3 linked regions of the Rhinolophus ferrumequinum genome follow. The protein of the gene in region 1 binds, or shares a complex with, the protein of each later gene. Links are inferred from orthologs where the notes say so. Each region holds a gene or a part of one and is shown on either strand. Other genes may lie near its edges. The genes, in order: B9D2, TMEM231 and TMEM107.

Region 1 (3,747 bases):
CGTGACTTGTATTCATCTTTTATTATCATTATTATTATTATTGGAGAATATTGGGGAACAGTGTGTTTTTCCAGGATGTCAAGTCGTTGTTTTTTCAATCTAGTTGTGGAGGGCACAGCTCACTGGCCCATGTGGGACTTGAACCAGCGATCTTGGTGTTAGGAGGATGGCACGACAACCACTGAGCCAACCGGTCACCCACCAGCGGCTCAGTTCCAAGCTCAAGCCATTGTTTTCAATCTAGTTGTGGAGGGCACAGTTCATTGGCCCATGTGGGAATCAAACCGGCAACCCTGTTGTTAAGAGCTCGCGCTCTAACCAACTGAGCCACCTTGCCACCAACTGAGCCATCCGGCCGCCCCTGTGTTCATCTTTTGTTATTGGTATATATTATTGCAATTTTAATATTTTTTTCCTTTTTAAAATGTGTACACATTTTTTCGGCACCCTCTGTATAACCCCCATTTTACAGGCAAAGAAACAGACGCTGAGAAGGAAAGTCAGTTGTCCATTCATTCTACGCACATTTATTGAACACGTGCTGTGTGCCAAGCACTAATCCCCATGCTGGACGTAGAGCAGGACCGCAGCAGACCAAGGTCCCATGGTGTAGCAGGACTCAAACTGAGCTCTGTCTGACTGCAGAGCCCAAGCCCTTTATCCAACTGCCCCCAAGCTCTCTGCTGGATTCAATGCCCCCCACAACAACTCCTTGAAATAACAAAAACCTTATGAGTTGTTGCTCCCTCTGGGCTAGGGGAGGAAAGCACCAGGCCTTGAGTCAGGCTTTTCACATACAATACTTCCCAACACCCCTGTGAGGGACAAATATCCCACTTCACAATTGAGGAAACTGAGGCTCCAAAAGGGGAAAGCACCTGCTCAGGGTCACAGAGCAGGTGAATGGTGGGGCCCAGAATGGAAACCGAGTTTGACTCCAGAGCCTGCCTCTTCATCAGCTCTCCTGGAGAACCACAGTTTCCCAAGGAATCTCAACCACCACCCTGGCCACCAGTGGAATTGCAAAGGACCCAGGGCCGGAAGAGATGATGATGACAACAACCACATTCCTTTCACGGGCATTTATCTGTGTTGGGCAACATATCAAGGGCTTTACAAACAAGATTCCATCCAATTTTTACACAAGCCAGGCAGACACTGAGAACTTACTAGGCCAGGCCCTCTCCTAAGTGCCATTGTTATTCATTCAGTCCTCATAACCACCCCATAAGGTAGGTGGTTGTTATGCCCATGTACAATCAGGGAAAGTGTCAAGGTCACAAAATTAATAAGCAACAGCTGGTTTTGAACCTAGGCAGTCTGTGCTCTTAACTTCAATACTATGCTGCCTCTCAGTTGCTATTAGCTTCACTTTCAGACAAGCAAACTGAGGCTTGGTTAAGTCCAAAGGCCTCCAATTAATAGGTGGTGGAGTTAGTATTTGAGCCCAGATCTGGAGGTCCTAGCCAGGACACTATACCAGGCTCTACTGCCTCCCATGGGGAGGCATGAAAACTGGGCCCTTCAAGGTCCCTCCTGGGCCTTGTGGATGGACTTGGATGACTGCCAGAATGGGGTTCCTACCTTCTCACAGAGAATTATGAACACAGGAGGGTAGTCTCTCTGTAAATTTGGGATGGAAATTTCCATTTTACAGTAACTCAATAAATGGAGGCTGTTAAGCAAAGAATTAAGAGCGAGGAGGGTCCCAGGGCACCCCTGAGACAGTGAGTGAAGTAGGGTTAAGGCTGTCTGGTGTTCTGAGGATTGGAGTGTGTGTGTGTGTAGTCTAGCCTATAGTCCCATATCCTTAAGGGCTATGTGTTCAGAGGTGGGAGCCAGAGCCTCCAGAGATGGGCTGGGAAGGGATAAGAAGGGAGCCTGAAATTCACATGTACACAGTGTAGTCAGGGTTAGGAGTGCTGACAGCCGATGTAAGACAAGGAGTAGCGACAGGGCCAGTTGGTCAAGGAAAGAGGGTGGAACCTCTAGGCTGGGGGTCTTGGTGGGGAAATGAACCAGGCCCCGCGCAATACCTGTGTGCACGCCCCACTTGCAGAAGAGGCTATTTTCTGAGAAACCGGTGGCCCCCACGATCTGCCCAATCACGTGCGCCTCAGCCATGGCCCTGAGAGGAGAAAAATATAATCACAGCCCTGTTAAGGACACTGTTTCCACCTGACAGATAGGAAAAAGGCTCTCCAAATAAGGGGCAGTACTAGGATTCCAAGCTAGTTTCGTCAAACCACTGAGGCTGGGGTCTGAACCATGATCCTAATTGCCTTTCCAGGAGAGTCTCGAAAAAAATGAGGGCTGGGCTGAGGAACTGGCGTCTAATTCAGCCGGCCCCTAAAATAAACTCTTCCTCTTAGTGCAACGGAAAGCCCCGCCTCAAAGGTCAAGGCCCCGCCCACAAGCACAAAAGCTCCGCCTCCTAGTGTCGTCGGCTCCCCCCAGCTCCCTGACGCGCATGCGTTTTAAGTGCAGAACCACCAAAGCCCCGCCTCTAAGCATACGCATGCGCTATTCCTATTTCAGAACACCTAACGGTTAGGAGGGGTGAAAGCGGCAGCGGGGGTAAGAGTTCATGGGCCTGACCTGACCCTCTCTCCGCGGGCGCTGACTCCCAGGCCTAGTTCGCGCTTCTCCCAGGACCTTCCGGACAGCGAGAGATCCGAGGTGCCGAGCCTTTCGCCGTCGCGCCCGCCTTCGGCCTCCCTGGTTGTTACTAGGGCAACAGCAGCCTCCCTTCCTTGCCTTATTGGCCCTGCTGCCTGTGGGGGCGGGGCTAAGGTGTGATGGACGTTCTCTCCATTTTGGGAAAAGCGTCTCCCAGTCACAACGCAAGGTTCTGGCATTTGGGGCGTGGCCTAACAGCTGCCATCTTGAGTGTGGCTGAGGAAGTTTGAGCGCAAACTGTATTTCCCAGATAACTGTCTTAACAAAATAAACAAGTCCATCGATTCCCCATACCCCTCCAAACTCCTCTCCAGCGGGGACCACCAACCAGCGACTTGAGCCAGTGCCAAGGGGGACTCCCCCTCAGAAGAATGCACCCTTCTGCTTCATGACTGGAAAAAAAAAAATCCTTCCTCAAGTTGGGGAGGGGGTTTTCCTTCCTTTTTTAAAGTTCCCCAGGGTCCAAGGGACTGATAATCCAACTTCCCTCTCAGAAATACTGCCCAGTTCTGTTGTGCTGATTCTGAGCAAGGGGTGGGGTGTGGTGAAGTGGTAAAAATGAGGAACTGAGGCTCCTTTATCTGCAGAAAATCCGCTCTAGAAGACTGGACTCTGCCAAGTAACTTGTGTGACGTTGCACAGCTCTAAGGTTTCAGTTTTCTCATCCACGCAGTGGACACAAGGACAGTGACTGAGCCAGAGGCTCTCATTCTGATTTCCTGAGCAGTGCCTTTGCCGCTTTCTAAATAGAGTTTAACCATAGTGCTTTATTCCTCCAGCCCAGACCAGGAGTCCAAAGGGAACTTAGCTTCTTAGTCCCTTACTTTTTAGCAAAATGGGGCAACATTTCAATAGGACAATATTTATATAAGGGGCCGGCCCGGTGGCTCGATGGCTCAGGCGGTTGGAGCTTCGTGCTCCTAATGCCAAAGGCTGCGGGCTCGATTCCCACATGGGCCAGTGGGCTCTCACCCACAAGGTTGCCGATTCGATTCCTCGACTCCCACAAGGGATGGTGGGCTGCGCCCGTGCAACTAACAACAGCAACTGGACCTGGAGCTGAGCTGC
Region 2 (3,747 bases), about 17 Mb from region 1:
GACTCCATTCTGAGTACATATTCTGAGCATAAACCTCACACTATGTTTTTGATGCAAACAACAACTTTGATATGAACCATGATAAAAAAAACAACAACTTTGATGTAATCCATGATAAAAAAAAAAAAAAAGGAAAGAAAGGAAGAAAGAAAGAAAAAAATTCTATGCCATGTTCGAAATACTGGTTTGGAGTGAGGGCAGGAGGGCACAATTAAGTGATAAGCCAATGTTATCTTTGGGGAAGACCATAGCTTCCCCTAAAACCGATTGCAGAGCTTGTACCCAATACAGGGTAACAAAGTATAGCAGAGCTGTGTAGTAATTATCCTTTATCCCACGAAGAACCGGGAGATTTGTGTCCTGTTTCTGTGTCTGTCCTGCTATGGAGTATAGTGAAAGCAACAGAAAATTTGGAAACAAAGGGACCTGGGTTTGGTCTTAGCCCAGGACCAAGTGCAAGACCACCAGCACATGTATGTTATGTGTTTTCCTCCCGTGTAGGTGTGCTGGTTGGTTGGACTTACGAATGAACGACATTGGTTCATGGTTAATGAATGACACATAGCAGGTATTTACTTTGAGTCAACTTCTATGAAAATCTTATATTTTACACAAATGTTAACACGGGCGACAGCTACGATTTTGGTGCACAGAAACACTTCATCTCAGCCTTTGGGAAAGCGCGCGTAGCGCACAAAGCGAAGTGGACCAACCCAGAGGGCCCGCCCCCCGTTAGCCCCACCCCTACCAAGGCCCTTGCTATTGGTTCCTTTTCCTGCGCCGTCGGTTGCCGTAGAGACCAAGGCTATGGCAACCAGGAGAAGCCAAACTTGGTAGTCCCTCGGCGACTGCAGAGGGTCCGAAGCGTGCGGCCACACTCCGCGCGGCGCTCATGGCGCTCTACGAGCTCTTCTCTCACCCAGCCGAGCGCGGCTACCGCGCGGGGCTCTGCTCCAAGGCCGCGCTGTTCCTGCTGCTGGCCACCGCGCTTACGTACATCCCGCCGCTGCTAGTGGCCTTCCGGAGCCACGGTGAGCCTGCCCCCGGCCGATGCGCGACACAGCTCCCGGCGGCCCCGCTGCGCCCGCGCGGGCCTGCCTGACCTCCTCCCCACCGTCCTCTCGCCCTCTTTACCTCAGGGTTTTGGCTGAAGCGGAGCAACTACGAGGAGCAGCCGACCGTGCGCTTCCAGCACCAGGTCCTGCTCGTGGTCCTGCTGGGACCGGAGCGCGGCGGGTTCCTCGCCTGGAGCACGTTCCCCGCCTTCAACCGGCTGCAGGGGGATCACCTGCGTGTCCCGCTCGTTTCGGTGCGTGGTTCCTGCTCGGGCCTAGCTGTGCACCCGGACTGGGTGGGGGGTCAGGCTGGGTGGGGGAGGAGGCTAGAGGCCCGGCCCCGGGCGAGCCCAGCTTTGGGGTTCGGGAACCCACGGTAAGTTGTGTACACAGGCTCAGTAGCCTGACATATGTTTGATTTCGTGGGAAGCAATTCTTGTTTCATTCGACTTCTCCAAGCTGCCCACACCCCAAGAAAATCAGCCACTGTTGTCAGCGTCTGCTTCCTGACACAGTCCAGAAGGCTGCGACAGCCAGTTTCTGACCCCCGTTATTTCCGTGGGTCTGGTCTGATAGAAAAGTGGTCGCGAAAGTCCCTTTATGAGTCATGAAGGGCGAGCGGTGTTCTTGTTACAACCCCATTGTGTGCACGGGGTAATTGTGCATCGAAACACGGTAGGAACGCAAAGCGCAGGCGCTGATTGGTGGAGCGACTTCCCAATGGCCCAGTCCCGCCACCCTGGGCTTGTCTCATTAGATGCTGCTCCATCCTGCAGCTGTCCAGGATGAAACTAAAGCATTTTACTGTCTGTAATTTAGTATTTGGTTCAGGATAAGGGAGTGCTTCCTTTACAAGCACTTCTTTCTGCTCATTTTTTGGAAAACATTTTCCTTTAGAAGTATGCAAATTCTGGTTTTCCTTCTTCCAAAGTTGAATCTCTTTAGACATCTCTGAGATGATTGGTCTACAAGCCAAACTTGTGTAGCTGGAAAAAAAAAAATTCAGACTTTTTTCCCAGCATCTAAAAATGAAAAAAAAAATTAATCTTATTGGTTATATGAATAACTACAAACAAAATATGAATCAGATTACTTTTTTCCAATTTAAAGTTTCTTACACTTTTCTGATTATAAAAATGTATACTCATTGTAAAATATTAGAGTGACAGATACATATAATGACATAAAATTAAAGGCTCAGTTTGGTACATGTATCAATACTTGTTAATCAACCTCATTCTTTTTAAGATCTGCAAGGTATTTCATGATATGGAAAAACTGTTCTCATTGGTGGGTATTGATTTATTTTTTCAGTATTAGAGAGAATGTTGCAGTGAATGAGATTTTGAATAAATCTCACACCTTTAAACATCAAATTGTGAGAAGTGCAATAGAAGCTGTTTGTTGAAATTGTGTAAGTACATAGAAAACTAAGCAAGCAAATAAAATAATTATTAACTCCAGAGAAATAAAAGTAAGGAAAGGAAAGGAAAAGTAATCAGTGTTGTGAATATGAGTTACATAGTCAAATGAGACTTTAACTCTCCTGGAGGATGGGGCGAGAGAGAGAGAGAGAGAGAGAGAGAGAGGAGTGAGGGGAGGAAAACTAAATATTCATCTCTGGAAATCAACAGGGAATGCCTGAAATGAAGTGAAAATATTTGCCATAGGGATGGAAGTCTGCTGGGAAGTCTACAACAATGTTGTAACACACATTGTTGAACTCTTTCATTCTTTAAATGATCAGTACTTTTAAATTGATTATTAAAACAGAACTGGAGTAGGAGACAAATTTCTTTCAATAGCTCTTCACTAATCATGACCTGTTGCCCATTTTTAATTCATATTTGAGATTATAATGCCTCTGAAGAAGGGTGCCTGGATGAGAGGCCAGTGCCCAGGTATGCTTACATTCCACATGTGTACGTTGCCTTTCCAAAAGTGTAAACAAAAGGTTTTTTATTCCAAACAAAAAATTTGTTAGTTTTACTTTAGGTTAGCATTCCCTGTCTTTTAAATTTTGAGTAGCAATTTTTTTCTTTAGATTGGTATATTCCTCTCTATCATACTCTTCTGGTTACTTGAGTCTAAGAAATCATCATGAAAACTTAAAATAATCATGAACACAAGGATATAACATTAGGTTTCACTCATTTGTCCTTTTCACTTGTTCATCCACCACAACTGGTTGACTCCCCAGTTGGACTGCTAGTTAGTCTATTATCTCTCTAACCAGAAACTACTCCCTTGAGAGCACTGCCCATGTTCCCTCTGCTTCTGGTATGTGTGTGCAGATGTTAAATCTGCAAAGCCAAGACTACCTCTTATTTTTATGGTGTCCGGAACTATTAATACTCTTTAATACTGGGCAGTTTTACACTAAAATACAAAACCAAAGCTTCTTTTTCTCAGTCTTTTTTTTTTTCTCCTCCACTCTAGGCCTATGTCTATAAGTAATTTATGACCTTGTCATCTATAGTCTTTCTCAAATAACTGATTTCCTTCCTTCTTCGCTGAGCTCAAGGATTTCTTATTCCATATGTTATACTCTTAACCCTTATTGCAACAAAATATTTTATTTTTCTAACTCTAAATATGAAGCTAGACTGATTACCGCCCATCTGAGAAACTGCCCAGGAAGCAATGGTTTTAGATCAAAGTTTGACCAAATGCTGGAAGTGGCTTTTCGGTT
Region 3 (3,747 bases), on another chromosome or scaffold:
GCGAACAACAGGTTTGCCAGGTTTCTGGGTAGGAGCTCCAACCACCAGAGAAATTCTCCCTGAGCACGTGCCCTTCTCACCATGGTGAGGTGGAAGGTTTGACAAAAGACCATTTATGACACCACGTGGTATGATCAACATTAACGATCGTTTGATAGCAAAGCCCAGAGATAACAAAAAACATTTACTGGTGACAAAGATTTCTCCAGAAAAAAACTGGGAGTACTCGGCACTTGAATTGGCCCAGAAATTGAAAGAAAAATCTTGTATGTTAACGTAGAGCCTCAAGGTCAGAAAACGGAACTAGCAGCTTCCAAACAAATCCGCCTAAAGACACTCCACAAACTAAAACAACGAGATAACAAAACCACTCATTAAGTAAAACCTACAACCAGTAAACTCCAACTACTACAATTGTAAAAGAAATGATCGCCAGGAAGAATCAGATAGGAGCAATCAGGGTGTTGCAAGACCTGATTACGCAGAGACGTTAATCACGAATCATGCGAACTCCAATCATCACATTCTAATCTGTCCTCCGAAGAGGAACAGGTAAGGATTATCCTACCTGACGATAAGGAACTTCTGACGGCATTACCATATTCAGTAAAAAAGATTCCGCTATAAGCAAGGGTGAGAATATAACATGTTAGTCGGAGCTACCTAAAATATTCATATTCTTACATTTCTGTTGCTACATTTATTTGCAGATCTTTTTAAAATACAGGTTTTTCCCCATTTGGCTGCCAAAAGGGATAAACTAACTTCCCCAGAATGCTCCACTCCACGATCTTGCAGTCCTGCTGGCATTACTTATTTACATATCTCCGCCCACTCCCTTCTGCCCGGCGTCTACCGTAATAACCAAAAAAGCGATACAATCTGCAAGGAAAACAGCCTTCCGTTTCTCTAGTAGTTTGGCTACCCCAATTCTCCTCTGAAATTTTTGTAAGCCTTGATCTTACTCTAAAATAGGTTTTATTACAAATCATTAAATAAAACGCTGATAATCCCAGACTCGACAGATAATTACTTTAAAATCCTCCACCAAATGCAGTCTTACGGGGGAAGGTTGAAGATTTTGCTTTCCTCCTTCCAGGAACGGTCAATGGTCCCTTGCTTCTCCAGCCTTCCTCCCTAGGCTCCCATGAAAGTGATCAGAAAGGTTTCTTTTTCAACCCAAAGACGCTGATGAATAATGCCATTTCAGTGACAGCTGGGAGGGCACTATGGAAGGTTAAGGTGGTGGGTTCAGGGCCCCTTCCAATAAAAATCCCCGAACCAGAGACCCCACCCCCAAAGTATAGGTGGAGCGGGACTTCAAAAAACTAAATACAGGACTTTGAGTGGATCTGGTATCTCACACATGGAGTAAAGGGCTGGGTGGGGCTACCTTCAGATTTACAGTAAACCTTCCTCCCCCATCCCATCCCCAAACATTGGATGTTACTGTACCTGCAGAAGACAAAAATGTACCAGTATGTGGTGCACTCCCAACGCTCAAATATGAAAAAGGATAGTGCCACAGACGCACTACAGTGAGCCCCGATGGCTGGGAACGCCCCTGAGTCAAGGAAAGTCTTTGGATCCAGAGGCAGTGGTGGACCAGAAAAGGCCAGTGGTGGGGCTGGCATCTGTGTCTGGTTCATTTCTTGCTCCCTCGCCAATTGCGAAGGCACAGAGCCAGTAGCCCTGCCTTCTGAGTTTTAGGACAGCCATGTGAGTAGAGGCTAGAGCTGAGCCTGCACAGCTGGGACCGCAGGCTGCCCCCATCCCAGATCTAGGGGCCAGCCTGGACTCTTCAGATGAGGTAGAAGTGGGTTCCCAATTTACCCCAGGCTACACAAGAGATTGTATTAAATTATCTAAGAAGATCTCTCAACTGGAGAGATTCTGTTTGCCTGCTAGGGCAGGCACTATTGTACCAAAAAGTTAGGTGGCTGAAGGGAGTAGCGATGGCAATGGCCCCTGTGGGAAAGGTACGCAGGCAGAAAGGATACAGATGAGGCTCTGGGTACTGTTGAACATGGAAACTCCTGAGAAGAAACCGGCCAGCTCCACTGCAAAGAGGCCCAGGGTGACAGACAGCGCTGCCACCAGCCTGCAGAGAGGAAGGGGGTTGGCTCAGGCCTTCTGGACTTCTTCTAAGACCCTTCCACTCCAACTACTACTTAATTCTGACCACCCCTCCCCAAGTGCTCACTGAATGTCCTGCTTCTCATACTCCTCAGGGGTAAACGTGAGAGGCAGGCAGGCCTGGATGTTGCTGTCCTGTTGAGCAGGTCACAGAGAAAGAGAAGTGAAAGAGGGGTGGGCAGCGGGGGATAGGAAGACCCAACCGGGTCAGGCCCTGGGGATAGAGCGGTGTTGGGCTGGGACCACACCGACGTGGGAATGGGGGTTGGGTGGAGGGTGGCCGTGGATCTTACCCGGGACCAGAATAAGGTGATGACGACGACCAGATGCGCCAGGAGCGTCAGGAAGCGAGAGGGCACGAGCCCCGAGATCCGGCCCATGGCTCCGAGGGGTAAGGGCACCTCCTGGAGCAGAGGCCGTGGTCTCTAAGGCTGGAAGCTCAGGCAGCGCCACTCTTGAAAGTCTCCCAGGTTAGCAGGCAAAAATTCGACGTACGCCGTCTTCCCGCTTTCACTGGCGCCGCCCAGTTGCCTTAGCAACCGCGGAGGCGGACACCAGGACCGGATCTCTGAAAATCTCGCGAGATCAGTAAATTCTCGAGTCGCAGTGGACCTCCTGGAGAGCGTGGGTCTGGGGTCAGCTGAGGGTGGTCGCAGTAGGGTGCCCGCCTCCCGCCAGCTCCCCACGCGCAGCCGAGCCGTCTGTTTGCACCTGAGACTGTGCTGTGTGACTGGGTCCCGCACCGCCGAATTTTCCCACGCGGGTCCAGAGGACGGAAAACCGCCCTGTCCTAGCCTGGGAACACCCGTTCCTCCGCGATGTCCTACCTCAGGAGCGACCCGGGCCCACACCCCCTTGCGTAGCCCAGGATGACCTTCCGCGTAAGAGTTACTCGCTGCTGACCCTTGTCACCGCCGTGCGGGACTTAGGGCACCCCCATGCCTTAGGCATGGACACTTTCTCTCCTTTCCTCTTCCGCGTCTCTCTAGCATCCCACTGCCCTGGGCCCGAAGAGACGAAGGAAGCCGAACGTGGAGAGGTGGATATCCCTAGATTGTCCAGCTGTCACTTATTGTCACGGAGCCCCTGGTTGTTCTAGGACCCTAGACCTGAACCTTCCTTGATTCTGATTCCCCCTCAGACAACTTTGCTCAGTTTGGCGAGAGATTTGCAGAGTGCAGAAAATGGCCAGCTCTCTTGAACTAGAATGTGGATGAGAAGCGTCTTTTGGGAAGGGAGTGGACTACGGAGCCGACTAGGAGGGATTGGAGGAAGGGAATGGTACCCGCGTCCCTGGGAGGCGAGGAGAGGGCAGCGATGCAGACTGCTTCGATTTCCTTACATCTTTCAGGTGTGGACACCCGACTTTGCCCAGTTACAGTCCAAGAACTTCTAACTGTCGGCGACTTCACTGACCTTTGGGCCTCAACGGGGATCCCTAAAGAACGGAAAGTTCTCACCTGTGATTATTGCTCAGAGTCCAATAACATTCTTGTAGGGACCTCCCTGCCCACTTTCCAGAAGAGCTAGCTCTCTTCCCACTCCCTATCTCAGTTCTTTTAAGGCGGTCTAAACTGCAAGTCCAAGAGGCATTTCTATTTCTGATTGATT

Evidence for each region.
Region 2: B9D2 (region 1) and TMEM231 share a complex: the UniProt entries of both Homo sapiens proteins name them as parts of the tectonic-like complex. The link is inferred for Rhinolophus ferrumequinum from reciprocal best matches to the Homo sapiens genes B9D2 and TMEM231.
Region 3: B9D2 (region 1) and TMEM107 share a complex: the UniProt entries of both Homo sapiens proteins name them as parts of the tectonic-like complex. The link is inferred for Rhinolophus ferrumequinum from reciprocal best matches to the Homo sapiens genes B9D2 and TMEM107.

Annotation. Positions count from the first base shown.
Region 1 is NC_046298.1:39,663,946-39,667,692, forward strand, and holds the start of B9D2 (B9 domain-containing protein 2), read right to left. Parts: upstream 2,943-3,747; 5' UTR 2,859-2,942; coding exon 2,599-2,858; intron 2,129-2,598; coding exon 2,037-2,128; intron 1-2,036. UniProt on the Homo sapiens protein: Component of the tectonic-like complex, a complex localized at the transition zone of primary cilia and acting as a barrier that prevents diffusion of transmembrane proteins between the cilia and plasma membranes.
Region 2 is NC_046298.1:22,920,025-22,923,771, reverse strand, and holds the start of TMEM231 (transmembrane protein 231), read left to right. Parts: upstream 1-892; coding exon 893-1,031; intron 1,032-1,139; coding exon 1,140-1,309; intron 1,310-3,747. UniProt on the Homo sapiens protein: Transmembrane component of the tectonic-like complex, a complex localized at the transition zone of primary cilia and acting as a barrier that prevents diffusion of transmembrane proteins between the cilia and plasma membranes.
Region 3 is NC_046304.1:10,817,751-10,821,497, reverse strand, and holds TMEM107 (transmembrane protein 107), read right to left. Parts: upstream 2,684-3,747; 5' UTR 2,517-2,683; coding exon 2,430-2,516; intron 2,272-2,429; coding exon 2,204-2,271; intron 2,102-2,203; coding exon 2,001-2,101; intron 1,553-2,000; coding exon 1,456-1,552; intron 1,228-1,455; coding exon of another isoform or gene 1,158-1,227; exon of another isoform or gene 1,138-1,157; coding exon 1,035-1,137; 3' UTR 433-1,034; downstream 1-432. UniProt on the Homo sapiens protein: Plays a role in cilia formation and embryonic patterning. Requires for normal Sonic hedgehog (Shh) signaling in the neural tube and acts in combination with GLI2 and GLI3 to pattern ventral and intermediate neuronal cell types.